Lepisosteus oculatus: one gene and its partner. The protein of the gene in region 2 purifies or fractionates together with the protein of the main gene of each other region. This does not show direct contact. Links are inferred from orthologs where the notes say so. Each region holds a gene or a part of one and is shown on either strand. Other genes may lie near its edges.

The links.
Region 1: the proteins of cdk5 (region 2) and cct8 purify together in Homo sapiens (affinity purification with mass spectrometry; 3 studies listed by BioGRID and IntAct, with this or other methods). This does not show direct contact. The link is inferred for Lepisosteus oculatus from reciprocal best matches to the Homo sapiens genes CDK5 and CCT8.

Annotation. Positions count from the first base shown.
Region 1 is NC_090700.1:19,416,071-19,423,902, reverse strand, and holds the start of cct8 (T-complex protein 1 subunit theta), read left to right. Parts: upstream 1-4,817; 5' UTR 4,818-4,903; coding exon 4,904-4,963; intron 4,964-6,342; coding exon 6,343-6,433; intron 6,434-6,729; coding exon 6,730-6,809; intron 6,810-7,650; coding exon 7,651-7,800; intron 7,801-7,832. UniProt on the Homo sapiens protein: Component of the chaperonin-containing T-complex (TRiC), a molecular chaperone complex that assists the folding of actin, tubulin and other proteins upon ATP hydrolysis.
Region 2 is NC_090701.1:30,515,585-30,522,684, forward strand, and holds the start of cdk5 (cyclin-dependent kinase 5), read left to right. Parts: upstream 1-4,094; 5' UTR 4,095-4,211; coding exon 4,212-4,248; intron 4,249-4,348; exon of another isoform or gene 4,349-4,415; coding exon of another isoform or gene 4,416-4,437; intron 4,438-5,860; coding exon 5,861-5,949; intron 5,950-6,248; coding exon 6,249-6,316; intron 6,317-7,100. Other genes in the region: abcb8 (mitochondrial potassium channel ATP-binding subunit), read left to right, coding at 156-239. UniProt on the Homo sapiens protein: Proline-directed serine/threonine-protein kinase essential for neuronal cell cycle arrest and differentiation and may be involved in apoptotic cell death in neuronal diseases by triggering abortive cell cycle re-entry. Interacts with D1 and D3-type G1 cyclins.

The DNA of each region.
Region 1 (7,832 bases), on a different chromosome or scaffold from region 2:
ACGTGTGCACCATCAAAATTTTACCATATTAAACTGTATTGAGAAGGTTTATTTCTGTTCTGGTTATTTGTTGGAAATGTCTTAGGCTTATGTGTAGGCCCAAAGCTCTCTAAACCTCTATGATTACCACAGCTTGAAGAACTATTTTAACTAACTTTCTTGTATCTTTAATAATTAATACTTCTATTTTGTGGAGTGGTTTTAGCTGTACCATAAAATATTTAAACAATATTGTTTTATTCTCAGCTTTTTTTTTGCATATTTTGAATCTTGTGTTATTAATCAAAGCTGAAAACTCAAAACAATTCCAAACACTAATATATAAAGAATTGTAATTTATCCCTGAAACAACTCAACATAATTTTTCAGTCTCTAATGTCCAGCAGTATGACAAAGTATATTGAAAATGATGATATACAACCTCCAATCAATACATACTGAGAGCATCTATTTACTATCTATCCAATAAAGTAGATTTAAAAAAGCAGTGGAAGTTCAAAGGTACAAACACAGCTTATGAAGTCCAAACTATCAGTCTGATTAAGAAATGTTGGCCTTCTTCCTTATATTGTCAATATTGCTAACACTTTTCCTGTTGAATTGTTTGAATTACCACAGAAACCCTGTTGTAACCAAAAAGAAAATACAAAGCAAATCACATAGGCTCGCCTTTCAGCTGGGTCTCGTAAAACAAAAACATGATCCCAACATGGATAGAGACAAAAACTTAACATACTACAGTACCTTCACTGATAAACAGGATAAAACAGTGAATACACACATTTTGAAATATACATTACTATTATAAATCAATTGTATTAAAATACAAACAAGTGCAACAGTGTATCTTGCCAGTCTGTCACTGTTACTCCTCATTTTCTGAGTAGAGACAATTTTGTTTGAATACAAACTGTCATATTAAATGTTCCAGAACAGAAAGTTTCTCAAAGTAGGAGGGACCTAATTTGGCTCCATTTGAATTTGTGCCTGTCAAAATTAAACTAACAGCTACATCTGAAAATGACAATATTATATTTGAAACAGATCAAAATGAATGACTGCAAGCTGCCAATGCCAACAAAGCACTGTAGCAGTGAAAAATTATTTAAAAAACACATGCTCGCTAGAGAAGGCAGGAACTACTCTCTACTAGAAGCTGAGAATGAAACTCAGTAGGCACAGAGCAGCACAGTATTCTGACACTTGATTAGAAATCAGTAGAGTTTCCAGTTCAGGAGAGAAGATGCTTTGTGTTAAACATTACAGGCACATTTTGGGTGAAAGTTAACCAGATACAATAATCTATCATGCCATGGTTTATTTATACAGTATGTACTTCAATAAGGGTCCAATAACAAAAGGATAAAGGCAATATTAATTCACACTGACTTACCTTTAGGAAGTCAATCCTAAGGGTGAGGTAAAACCAGGGCCAGCCTTGTTTGCCTTGCTCTCCTACAAACAAAAGATCTGACAGCCAACTGCTGTCAGCACTCATAAGTTAAGACCAGAGATGGGTAAAGACTGCATATTGCTACTAACCGTCCTTTCTCTGGTGTATTTCTAAACTCTAGTCTCCCTTCTTTGTGGGTGAGCTTTAGATTTTGTCTTCGGTTTTTGATGGGAATGCCCGTTTATGCTCACAAGGATGTCTTGAGAGAAACCTTCTCACGAAGGGTGCTTAGCAAGCTCTTCACTGCACACAGTCAGTCGCCTCCGAACATGTTCACATTGAGATAGCTTACAACACAGACAGCGCTTGGCAGCTGAGGGACGTTGTCGGCATGCCCCTGTCTGTCAGTTGGGTTCCAATTAAATTGCTCAGATGGCATGACTCTAGACACGAAAAATGCCTCCAGCTCCAATCAGCTTTGAGTGACATAGTTGTGCTGGACTGAACGCAATAACTCTGGAATGATGCAGTGTACCAGAAAGAGGCTGCCTAATTACTTGGGCACAACCTTAACCTTTGCAGTGCAATGCTCCCTGCTGACGCATTCGGCATATAAAAGAAAAGGACCAGCTGGATAAAAATGTTTTTTTTTTAAATAAAATGTAAATTAATACTACATAGAGGAATGGGCTAACAGAAGCATTGCCTTTGACATGGTATGATGACCCAGAAAAAAAACAAACTGAACATAAACAACAACAAGAGAATATAAGGCAAGTTCAGATCAAACAGATGCCACAGGACTCATCCATGTCCAGTTGATTTGATGCATGGACAATCCAGACATGTAATAGTTGCTACAGTAGTTAGGAGGGAAAAAACACTCCACAACTAATCCTCTGATTACATTGATCCTCATGACTGCATCACATTTCTTCTTCAAGTGTCTTGCCGTTTCGTTTTAAATAATTCAGTGTTATGTGCCATACTTAAAAGCTTTCATGTTTGCTGTAAAACTCTTCCTTCTCCCTTTGTTCTGAGGTTGTCTTTCTTCCAAGGCTTTCCTCTCTGGAACCTTTAAAAATAATTCTCCACTGCCCTCCTTGTGCTACAGTATATGCCTTTTTTACAATGTATAGAGCAGGTTCAGAGTTTCCATAACATGATAATTTAAGACTAAATTAAGGTTATAGACCACATACTGTAAATAGATACCAAACGGCAGTACCTAGTGAGAATGATGAGAATACGACGCAATCCAGAGAACTCCGCTCTTGCAGACAGACTTGTTTAGCATAGTGTATTGACTTCAGCAAGCACTAAACTGAAGATACTGCTGAGTTCAGAAAACATTTAGGATCATTTACACATGACCAGAGCTGGGCAGTGTTAACCTTTACTACCAAACAGTCAGAAATTACAATGTGTAACTATACATGCAGTAGTGAAGAAATGGTGGCATAGTGGTTAGTATTGCTGCCTCAGGGATCCAGGATAAATTCTGGTTGCATGCCATCTGCAAGTTCATGTGGATTTTCAACAGGTGCCCCAGTGTACTCCCACCTCCCCTCGACATGTTGGCTAGGATTGATTGGCTACACTAAATTCTCAATTTATGGTGCCGTGCTAAGGAGAGTGCAACAAGTACTGGTTAAGTGACTATAGAAAGAGAGAACCAAACGAGCTCAGTGGGCTCTCATTTGTGACCTTTTCTGCTGTGTTTAATTGACTGTTACCAATGTTGCAAGTGCTACCTTTAAATCCAGGTTAGGTGTTTTATGACAAGGTCCATGGTCCTTTGAATGGTCCACCAGTTCTAGTTGGGCCATGAGTCACTGGATATGTACCTACAGTACAAATAAAAATTACACTAAATCTGTTTGAGAGTGATGTCTCAATTGACTGATTGAAGTGATTATGTGCATAAAATTAAGTTAATACTCAAGATCATTGACTCATCAGCCTGCATCTTATCCTAGTTATTATGCCTTTTATATGTATTTATACAGTATGTAATACATGACACCCCTATCTCACGGGAATCATCAGAGATACCACTCTTTTAAAATATTGTCCAACTTCACTAATTTAAAGTCATAGATTATCATCAGGCAATATAAAATACAGATTTTAAAGAAGAAAACATAAATTAAATCAAGAGGGTACCCACCACGACATATTTGCTTAATAATGGCTAAAGCACTTTTCTCTAAGGATTAATATATAAGTAGTTCAGGTGGGTAGCTGCATCAGCATGCGCAATCTGCAAAGGAGCAAGTAATAGGTTTATTCCATGCTGAAAAGAGAAGAGAGAAAACACAACACTTCGGCAGTGGAGCCTTCTTCAGGTGTCATCATGTGCCACACTTTACACCCGAAGAAGACTCCACTGGCGAAACGTTGTGTTTTCTCTCTTCTCTTTTCAGCATGGAATAAACCTATTACTTGATCCTTAATATTGTAACGCAACGGGGGCTCCGGCGGGCGCCCTTGCCGCATTAGGTCGGCCCCTGCACCGTCCGGGGCTCGAACCCGGGACTTCCGCGTCTCTCTGCAGCGACCTAGCCCCGTGAGCCAAAGAGAGATCTCTCCACAGCCCAGTAGCTGTGGTCCTGCTATCACAGGGAAGGGCGGTGACGTCACCCGCTCTGGTACGCCGGCTCTTACACAGCGCCTGTCGGCCGTAAGCGTTACACTCTCCCCCGCTTAAATCGCCGTCCCCGGCGAAGGGCTATCCCATCCCACTTCTGACACCAATGTAACGCAACGGGGGCTCCGGCGGGCGCCCTTGCCGCATTAGGTCGGCCCCTGCACCGTCCGGGGCTCGAACCCGGGACTTCCGCGTCTCTCTGCAGCGACCTAGCCCCGTGAGCCAAAGAGAGATCTCTCCACAGCCCAGTAGCTGTGGTCCTGCTATCACAGGGAAGGGCGGTGACGTCACCCGCTCTGGTACGCCGGCTCTTACACAGCGCCTGTCGGCCGTAAGCGTTACAATATACAAGTGTTTCATTCCTTGTTACAAATACAGCATATCACCCATTATTAACAAAATAGTTTACCTATTATGATTGTGATCATATTCAAAATGTACGGTGAGTAGGGACACCTTTCAATGAATACACATATGGACGTTTAAATTATAAGAAAAGCTTTGAAGATCACTAAAACAATTTAATAAAATAATACACATGGCATTGCTCTTTTAAAATTACTTGTATGCCTTTTTAAATAACGTTTTTTACAAGAATAAAAAATATTAATAATGATGGAAACGAAGTAATCACGAGTGTAATCTACCATCAACAAAAACAGGTAGATGTTAATCCCATGATGAAAAGTATACGAGTTGACGCACATCCACAGGTTCAGCCCACTACCAGCTACAGCGATGAACTCGATACTCGATTTACTTTTCCTGCTCCGCCTTTGCTCGTAGCTCGATTGTTCTGACTCTCCGCACACGCACCGGTTCTTTTTCTGTCTGTACCGGGGAGCAAAACCACTTGAAATATGGCTCTTCACGTACCTAAAGCTCCGGGCTTTGCCCAGATGTTAAAGGATGGTGCAAAGGTAAAGAACATTTAGTCATCTGTTTTGAAGATTAACCTATGTATGACCTTTTATGTCCAATTTTGTATCAATTGCAAGGGAAGTGCGGTTGGACGCTGTGTCATGTGGGACACTTCTAGAAAAAGCCTGTGTAGGCCACAGTTAGATTAGTTCATCCTATTGTGATATATAGCATTCGTTTGCTCGTTTTGTACGGGCTTTTTGAAATTGTAGGTTGTTGTGGCACGAATAACTCGTAAATCATAACTTATTAAACGATCTTGCAGCATATTTGTGTAATCAGTGCCTCTTTAAGCATTTTCTGTACTGTAGCTAAATGCAGTAAGACGAGGGACATGTGCTTTCTAACGGCAGCCGTAGTGGAAATCATTCATTGACGACACTCCGTTTTTACCCATACATGGAGATATTTCGGGAGCTGCCATTCGGTGTTAAAACAGCTCTCGAACAGGAATGTAGCTAAAATCCGTAGTATTATTATTGCTAACGCTTTTGTTCATGGAGGAACAGTTAGTACCAAGCATACGCCAGTTGATTTTCATGAACTGAATTTTCCGAATTCAGACTAATTCGGATTTATAATAGAGAAGGGCTTGTTTTAAAATCGCTAGACGCTTCTGTACTTCAAGTAACAATTGTATATACAACACAAACGTATTCGGCATGATGCTACAGGGCGTTGCCAGGCAAAGTTGCCGTAACTGTTGTCAATTCTACAGCAGTGTCGCGGCAGTAGACTCGAACTCAAAATTGTAATTGAATCTATGGTAAATGCTGGGCTTATTGTTTTATCACTGCTATTTCTGGAAGCATTGTTGTTTAACGTTAATGCAGTCTGATCACAGGTGATAAAGATGGCACAAGCAGTACAAAGCCTAATTTGATTTAAAGTTGTTACTCTATGTAAAATAAATAATTTACAGGAATACATGCCTGCAGCCATACAGTAGTTTGTTTATACACACTTTCATGCAGTTACTCTAGTTCAGGAGACAGCTATCCAAATGTTAACATCAGAAATAATTGCTTGACACATGGCAGATGTGTTCAGGGGGCTGAACTACCTCTGTGTGGAAGTGAACAATATATGCTTAGTACTGTTAGGTCATCATTGGTTCCATAACCTGTTTTAGTGGAATAATTAGGCTCCATGAACACGGCACAGTCTGTATGGAATGTCCCATATACAACAGTATAGACATAGCTCTTATTTGCAGTACTTCCCAAAACAAATATTGTATTGTTAGTAAATGTTATGGTGATGACAGTGAAAGGAGTGGCATTCACAGATGCAGGGCAGACCAGATCAATTTTCAGTTAATCATTAGGCTAGCTGTTTTAAATAAGTTGTTTTATTTTTTAAAACCTGTTCATTTCAGCACTACTCTGGGTTGGAGGAGGCAGTCTTCCGAAACATTCAGGCCTGCAAAGAGCTGGCACAGACCACACGGACAGCCTACGGTCCAAATGGTAGGTCTGGACTGTGCTTGTCAATATCAGATGTTTGATCAGTGCCCAATACAATATTACAATAGAGGTTGAGTCTATTTTTTTATGAGATTCTGTGATTTAAGACCTACATGGATAATGAATAATTTTGAAATGTTTTTTAAATAAGAGATGTGACTGGGTGTACTACTACTGATTTGATATTTTCAGGATGTGTGTTTAATGCTATAAGCCTACAGAAAAGTACACATAAATATTAATCTATAGGAATGCAGAATTCTGTTTTTTAATATCTGGGCCTTTTTACTTCTTTTCAGGCATGAATAAAATGGTCATCAACCACTTGGAAAAGCTCTTTGTCACTAATGATGCTGCAACTATTCTGCGAGAACTTGAGGTATTTAGTTCATTTTTGAACCGCCTTAATTCCTAATTGTTTAACTAGTGTTTTGTGAGAAAAGCCGAAGACAGAGATCAGCAGAAACTTTTAATTTCTTAATGATGGATCTCCAACTCTGGTTATGTGGAACCCAGTCCAAAAGTTTTTATGGGTAATATTCCTAAAGGTTTGGAACAATTTATCTATGATCAATTAACAAGGCGGTTGACTTAATTAATTTAGATATCATTTTGAACAAAATCAGAATATCTTTTAGCCTGTAAGGACCAGTATTCCTTTTTTTAAACCTTTACTGTCTATGTAGTACTTCACCCTGTGGCTTAAATATTTTGTACTCTAGCAGAGAGTGTGCTACTGCTGTCTCCATCATTGTATGTCAGGCTAGGAATACGTAAAATAATATATGAATAAAATAGGTAGTCTTCATGCTATAGTTGTAAAGGCAGAGGAGTTGTAATGGTGAAATCTAAAAAAAGACAGGGATAGTACCCATGAACTGTAGAATAGTGCCCATCAATAAGACAAGTGCCCAAACCGACCCAAATAATTATAGATCAATTAGTCTGAATTCTATTACATGTAAGGTTATGGAATTAGTTATTAGAATTAACCTAGAGGATTACCTATATGGAATATAGAGTCCTTTGAACAAGTATCAGAATTAATGAAACACATGGAGCATATAATATTTAGATTGGTAAATTTAGATTGTCAAAAAGCTTTTGATAAAAGTCCCCATTGCAGGAGAAAGGTATTCAGTGACATGTGTACAGTGTGAGAATTGGAGAAGAAACAAGGTGCATAAGATCTTTTTTTTGTTTGTTTGTGCACCCACCAGGTTCAGCACCCTGCAGCTAAAATGATCGTCATGGCTTCCCACATGCAAGAGCAGGAGGTTGGGGATGGGACCAACTTTGTTCTGGTGTTTGCTGGGGCGCTGCTGGAACTGGCAGAAGAGCTTCTCAGAATGGGACTGTCAGTGTCTGAGGTGAGCCTGTAGAATCACTCACTTTCCACTTC
Region 2 (7,100 bases):
TTCATTTAATTAATTAGAAGAGAATTAGTTTAAACCTTAACTGCTTTAATAACCACTTTCAGTCCAACTTTAGACTGAACATTGTGTGGTTTGCTTAATGTCTTCATCTTGCAACACTGAAAAAGAGATGTTGTTCTTTTTTTGTCTTTCCTAAGGCTGGTACACATTCTGAACTTCTGAAGAAAGGTGGACTGTACGCAGATCTGACTCAAAGACAGAGGACAGAGGGAAAGAAATGAATCTAAAGTAGCATAGTCTACAGAAGATTTTAATCAACAGTTGATCTTTGTCTTTGCCTTCTAAATCAATTTCTTTTCAGATCGATTTCACTTACTGACAGTTCATATCCTACAATCTTGTAAGAAATTATTGACCATGATGGGAAAAATCAGAGCAGTAAAATGTCTACCTGCTTTGAGAATGTTTGTCCAAAAATGCATTTTTCTTTTGGTTTTGAAATATCATTGGAAATGTTTGAAGATCTAGTTTAATGTAATCATGAAGTTAAAAAGTTTGTACAATACTGATTATAATTTTTGAACTATAAAAGAAGGTATATCCCTTAAAAGCAGACAGCGATGAAAACACTACAGGAGTTTGTCAGCAGTAATTTATGAAAACCATTGAACAGGAAGAATTATTGCTTGAGTTTTGCTTTATTTTTTTGGATAATTAAACTTGACAACTTTTTCAACCCTAAGAAGTTAGGTGTTGAGTAATTTTGGAAAAGTATAAAATGATTTCTCTGTTTCCTCTTTGACTTTGTATTACATTTACAGGACCATCGTGTTTAAAATACAGTAATGATATCTTGAAGGACGGGAAAGTATTCTACCTTAAGGAGTTAGAATTAGCATCTACGTCCACTTAATAGACCAATGACATAGTGTGTGTACAGGACCTTGCAAAAGTATTCAGACCCTTCTTGTGGTGTCCCATTTTGTGAAATAAAAATGGATGTACAGTATACACATTTTTTAAGCTCTAATTTTTTAAAAATCAGTGCTGATACAGCAGATGTTTAGGGTTAAGATAAGCTACTGTAAATGTCAGCAAAAACTAAAACAAATAAATCTTAAACATATTGATTGCCTAAGTATTCAGCCCCATGAATTCAATATTTGGTGGTAGCACCTTTGGCAGCAATTCTTTTGCAATTGCAATTGTTTCAATTATCCTGCTGAAAGATGACCTGTTATCCAATAACTTGTTTAAGTCTTTAGTAGATTAAGGCAGGTTTTCTTCTAAGATTTGCTTGTGTTTTGTTCCATCTATTTTTTTCTTCACTCATCACTGCTCATTTTGTTCTATCTAAGCTATTGAGCTGTGCAGTTCTTTCAAAGTTGCCATTAACCTCGTGGTAGCATCCCTTGCTCATCTACTCAGTATGAAGATACAACCTGATCTCAGAAGTTCTCTGGGTGATACAAGGTGCCTTCCATTTCTTGATGATTGAGAGACTTTGGATGAGACCTTAAACTTAGATCCTGATAATCATTATTGTTGTTGTTGTTGTTATTATTATTACATTAATAATAATAGCTCACACTTATATAGCACTTTTCTGGACACTCCACTCAAAGAGCTTTACAGGTAATGGGGTCCCCTCTACACCATCACCAATGTGTAGCCCCACCTGGATGATGTAACAGCAGCCATAGCAGCCACACATCAACTATTAGTGGGGAGGAGAACAGAATGATGAAGCCAGTTCATAGATGGGGATTATTAGGAGGCCATGATTGGTAAAGGCCAAATGGGAAATTTGGCCAGGACACCAGGGTAACACCCCTACTCTTTTCAAGAGACGCCCTGGGATTTTTAATGATCACAGAAAGCCAGGACCTTGGTTTTACATCTTATCCAAAAGACAGTGCCTTTTTACAGTATAGTGTCCCTCTCAATATACTGGGGCATTAGGACCCACACAGACTGCAGAGCAAGCACCCCCTGCTGGACCACTAACACCTCTTCCATCAGCAACCTTAGTTTTTCCAGGAGGTCTCCCATCCAGGGACTGACCGGGCTCACACCTGCTTAGTTTCAATGGGCTGCCAGTTGTGAGTTGCAGGGTAATATAGCTGCTGGCCATTAAACGATCCTGTGGCAATCATGGTAGGATCAGGGTGTTAACTCATGAGCCCCAGCTCAGTTCTACTCTAGGCTTACCCAATACAGCCTACCACAACTCTTGATTCAATTAGTAGAGCTATTTTTCAGTTTTCCTCTTGATATGTTGGGTGGCAGTGCTACTGGAATTTAACAGATGTGGACTTCACACAGGTGGGTGCTGTTGCTCTGGTGGTTAAGGTGGATCCTTTAAAGTGAAAAGGGCTATATAAATGCAGTTTAATAATTATATGTTTTATTTTACTCTGTTGTGTCTATACTATTTTATTCCAAATGTTAGAGTTACAATCAGATGTGTATTTTAATATAGTGCAGTTTTCAAATTTTAATCTGAGAAAAAGCATTCCATTTTCTTCTTCTAAGTATAGGTGGTGTGAATATAGACTTTTGGTAATGCAAGTACATACTTGTATTAGATTATGAGTTTACAGAAGTCTGTTTAGTACCTCAATTAAAATACACGTGCTATAGTACTATATTATTATTAACTATAGTATTATAGTTGTCTAATCTTGATTAAATAAAGACTTGTATAAATCATTTAGTATTGGACAGGCAGCGAAAGTGTTTTAACAGCAGTGTTACATGGTTGGAAGAAGGATTATACTTCTGCTATTGTTGAGTGGAAAAAATGAGTGCGGGGCCAACAGGTATCAAGGACAAAGTTGACTTTAATTTTGCAGAGAATGGCCAATTGATGCATTATCTATCCTTGGTCTCTGAGCTTCCTTACATTGAGCAAAGGTCCTTTCAGCATACGCGCTCGTTATTTACCACACACTCCTTAATTACTGTACCACACAGTTCAAAGGCGCCATCATTGTGACACTTCCACCTCCCTTAAGAAGGAATCCTGAGCCCTTTCTAGGAGAGATTGTTTAGTCCCAGTTAGGAGAACTCAGAAAACAGTTCAAGATGGAAAAATTGAGGAGGACACAGGTTGCAGCCGTGGACCTAGGAGAGGATGTGGACACCAGGGAGTCTCTAGCGAGCAGCAGAGGAAGGCTTCTGTGTTGTCTACTCCTCTCCCCCACCCAAAACTGGACATAGACAAATCAGGGCAAAGGGGAACATGAGAGACCACAATGTTCAGGATGGTTGGAGTTGAAGAGGACGCCAAAGACCATCGAAGGATTACAAAGACGTTCTTCGCTGTAGTGGAAGGAGGCACTCCCAGTCACCGACTTAAGCTGGTTTTGGAGAACAGTGATCCTGGACAGATCCATCTTTTTTGGGTCCATCTTGTTCATATGGTCTATGAGTGTGTGTCCCTTGGATATTCTGAGTCATGGGCTGTGTGAGATGGATAGCTTGATAGGCTGTAATAAATTGGGATATAATGTAGGATTACTTATGTACACTGGGGTCGATGAACTGGTTCTAGGTTGAAAAAGACAGTGTTGTGGGGGATAAGGGTCTTAGCACCCATAAAACTTGGAGGAGTCACCAACTGTCAGTGTTACTGAAATGTTTCAAATAACACGAGAAACAAAAGAAACACCAATGTTTCTGAAGTACATCAAAGGGGTTTATTTCAGTACCATCAATTAATTTATCAACTTTGTTAATATTGGAAACCTACAAATGTATTCATTTTATTCCAAGAAAGATCTGTTGCATCAGTATCTGAATATTAGACGAGCATTTGTAAAGTGCAGAAACCATGGTATTTGTTTCGGAGTCTGTTGCAAGTAAAAAGGAGTGATCATCACAGTAGCGGATGGGAAATCATTGCTTCGTTGCTTGTAGAGAACCAGGGTTGTACCAACAAGATGCAGTTTTAACTTCCATTAACTGTTCTATGTGACAATGAAATTCCAAAGAATTTAATAAGATTTAGCAAAAAAAAAAATGTATGTACACGGAAAATGTACTGTATGAACAACACCTTTGCCAGTCCGTCACATTCGCTGTCGCTTGTAGTTCAGGGTGGTGACAGATTTTGTAGTCATGCAATTCATTTTTCTGCCAATAGATGTCTCAGTTTGTTGTAGTCTTACATTCAAAATTTATTGCAAAACCTCCCTTGAAATTAATCCTGGGAGAAAACAAAACATACATATATATAATTTGAACAGAAAATGCAGAAATATGAGAAACTTGAGAAGATTGGAGAAGGTAAGAGACAATGCACATTTGTTAGATCAGATATATGTAGTTGTGCGTTTTTATTGTTTTGTGTGCGATGAAACCCTGTTAATTCTTCTTGTAGTCAGTTTATTTAAATCTCCGTACGACTGTGGCCTACGCTGCCATCAGAAGCCCCGGGCCTCGCGTAAAAGCTAATGCGGAGTTTGGGCAAAGCAGGTTGGTTACAGGCAATTCTTTCTGATGGTCATTTTCGTGATTCAAAGGTCGTCGGTTCTTATTTATCGACGGGAATGAATGAAACTATTCTTAGCTTTTTGTTTAAAATTTATAATGACATTTCATCTCACTCTGAATCGGTAAGATAACATTTTTCGTTTGTTTGATCCGCTGTTTTGTGGGCTGTCAATTCAGCTTTAGATTATTTCCATTTAAAATTATCTGTAGAATCTTTTTATATATATAGAAATATAGCTAATCCGCTCCTTTTTAGCATTATATTAATGATTTTTTAAAACCTGTCCTGTGGTAAAAGATGGTAAATTATTAGCGCTTTATTTATTTGTAATTAGCCTGAACCGCATTATAGCAGATGTCTTTATTATCTTAGTTAGTATAAATGTAAAATAATATCCTAGTAGTTCTATTATTTTAAACCTTTTTCCTGAGGCCCAAGCGTAGTTGGACTTAGAGTGTAACTGATGATAACAAAACGCATTTCTAATATAAAAAGATGATTAAATCGGTATAGAAGCAAGCAATGTTGTTTTTCAAACTGTTTTAAATGTTGAGTGCTTTTAATTGCCACTATTTCATCTGCTAAAATCTCGTCTAATGTTTGTTGAACAATATGTATATACTGCATCTATAATCATAATGAATTGTTCTGCTCGTCTAAAGCTATTAAACTAAAAATTCCCACACATGAAATGTTTCCATGGGAACCGATATACTTCGGGATGTGTTAGTAACCTGGGAAAGTTATTGATATAATACTATTAGGGGGGACAGTTATCAAACAAGATATATCTGCTTACTGACTTGTCTCTTCCGAAACAAATAACACTTCAGAATTCGTAGTTTTACTGTAGTTTTGGCATGAAGAAAACCTACAAATGGGCACGGACAGTTATCCTGTACATACAAACGTAAGAAACTGGAAACTTTATCTCGGTCTCTCGGTCGTATATTCTTAAAGGAATACGCGATAAAAGAGAACGCCTGTGTATCCTTTTTAGTGTTCTGCCTCCGATGAAAACAAATCATCATTCTCCATAGCTTCGGGTATTGCAGCTGCCTATTTGTAACAGCAATCTCACGTGGCAATTAAACACAGCTGGTTTCACTGCATGCTTGTTTTATTTTGATCTCCTTCCTTACATGGTAAGGCTACCATCATGTTTTTCATTGCAATAAAAGTTTTCCCGTTATATAAATACTAAATTAACCAGATATTTGTTTTGAAGAAGCAAATACAGTTATGTATTCTGCCTTCAAGATATAATCATTATTAATAAACATAGTTCCCTGTCTCATTTGGAAGTCATTGTAAGATTACTTCCCAATTGATACTTCTACCCTTTGTTTCCAATTTTTCTAAAAGCAACTATTTCTTCTTTGTCTTTTATTTATATTCATACAGGTACATATGGAACAGTCTTTAAAGCCAAAAACAGAGAAACTCATGAGATTGTAGCTCTGAAAAGAGTACGGTTAGACGACGACGATGAGGTATGAACTGGTTATTTTCTTTTCTAGTGCATACCAAGTGAGGTACTGAAAATTATCATGTGTTTTCTCTCTGGTAAATTTCATGATAGATTCACAACAGATTATTTGTTACATTCAGGTGCTATTAAGAGTTTAGACAAAAGCATAAAATTTGCTGTGTGATGCAGTTACAATTAATTTAATAATAGAATTACAAAACTCAGAATGCAGTTTGAAACTTTATCCATAGTGACTTAAATTTACCATGTTTATACATATTATGCCTCTTATGTATTAGTATTATGTCTCTAATTTTTCAGGGTGTTCCAAGTTCAGCATTGCGAGAAATTTGCTTGTTGAAAGAACTAAAACATAAAAATATAGTTAGGTAAGTGGTTTTTGATTTCTTCAGTTATTAACTGGCATGAAACAGACTTGTTTAATGGTGTTGTGTTGAATCATGTTTGTATCTGAAGCTTGATATTGGAATGTAAATTATGTGGTGCTCCTGCAGGTTTGTTTGTTTCTAGGTAACAAGAACTTATCATTTTGTGATTCTTATAACATTTAAATTGTTGTTTGTCTGACATTCAAATTCTGAATGTATAGAAGTTGTAATCATACTGTAACTTAACATGTAGCTCCTCTCAGATTCTGAGGTGAGCAACACTCATTGAACTACAATTAAGAATGCCTTTCTTAATTTAGCAGGCCCAGATTGGCCGATATATATGTTTTTGTGACCCAATGCTTCTGATCTCTAGTTTGAATACCTCTTACAAGTCAGGGGACTAGCTGTGGGACCTGGGTTTGTAATGTAATAGATGTTATAGGGTAACTGCAGTATATTTTTCTATCTAAAGTATATTCACTTGCAATTTAATGATAACACTCTTAGCCTTTCCCTGATTTAAAAACACATATATATACTAAAACACAGTGGCTGTTCAACCGCTCTACCTGCAAAATATGCAAGTACTAAAATTATAGATAGAAACTACAGTTCTTGTAGAACTTCACTAGAAAAATGTTGTTGTTTAAAGGGGAAAGTGAAGTAATTGTAATACTGTATGTGGGATAATATGAAGAATAAACCATTCAAACAATACCACAAACTCTATTTTAAAAGAATTGGGTTTCAATTCAACAACTGCACAAAACATAATGTAAAT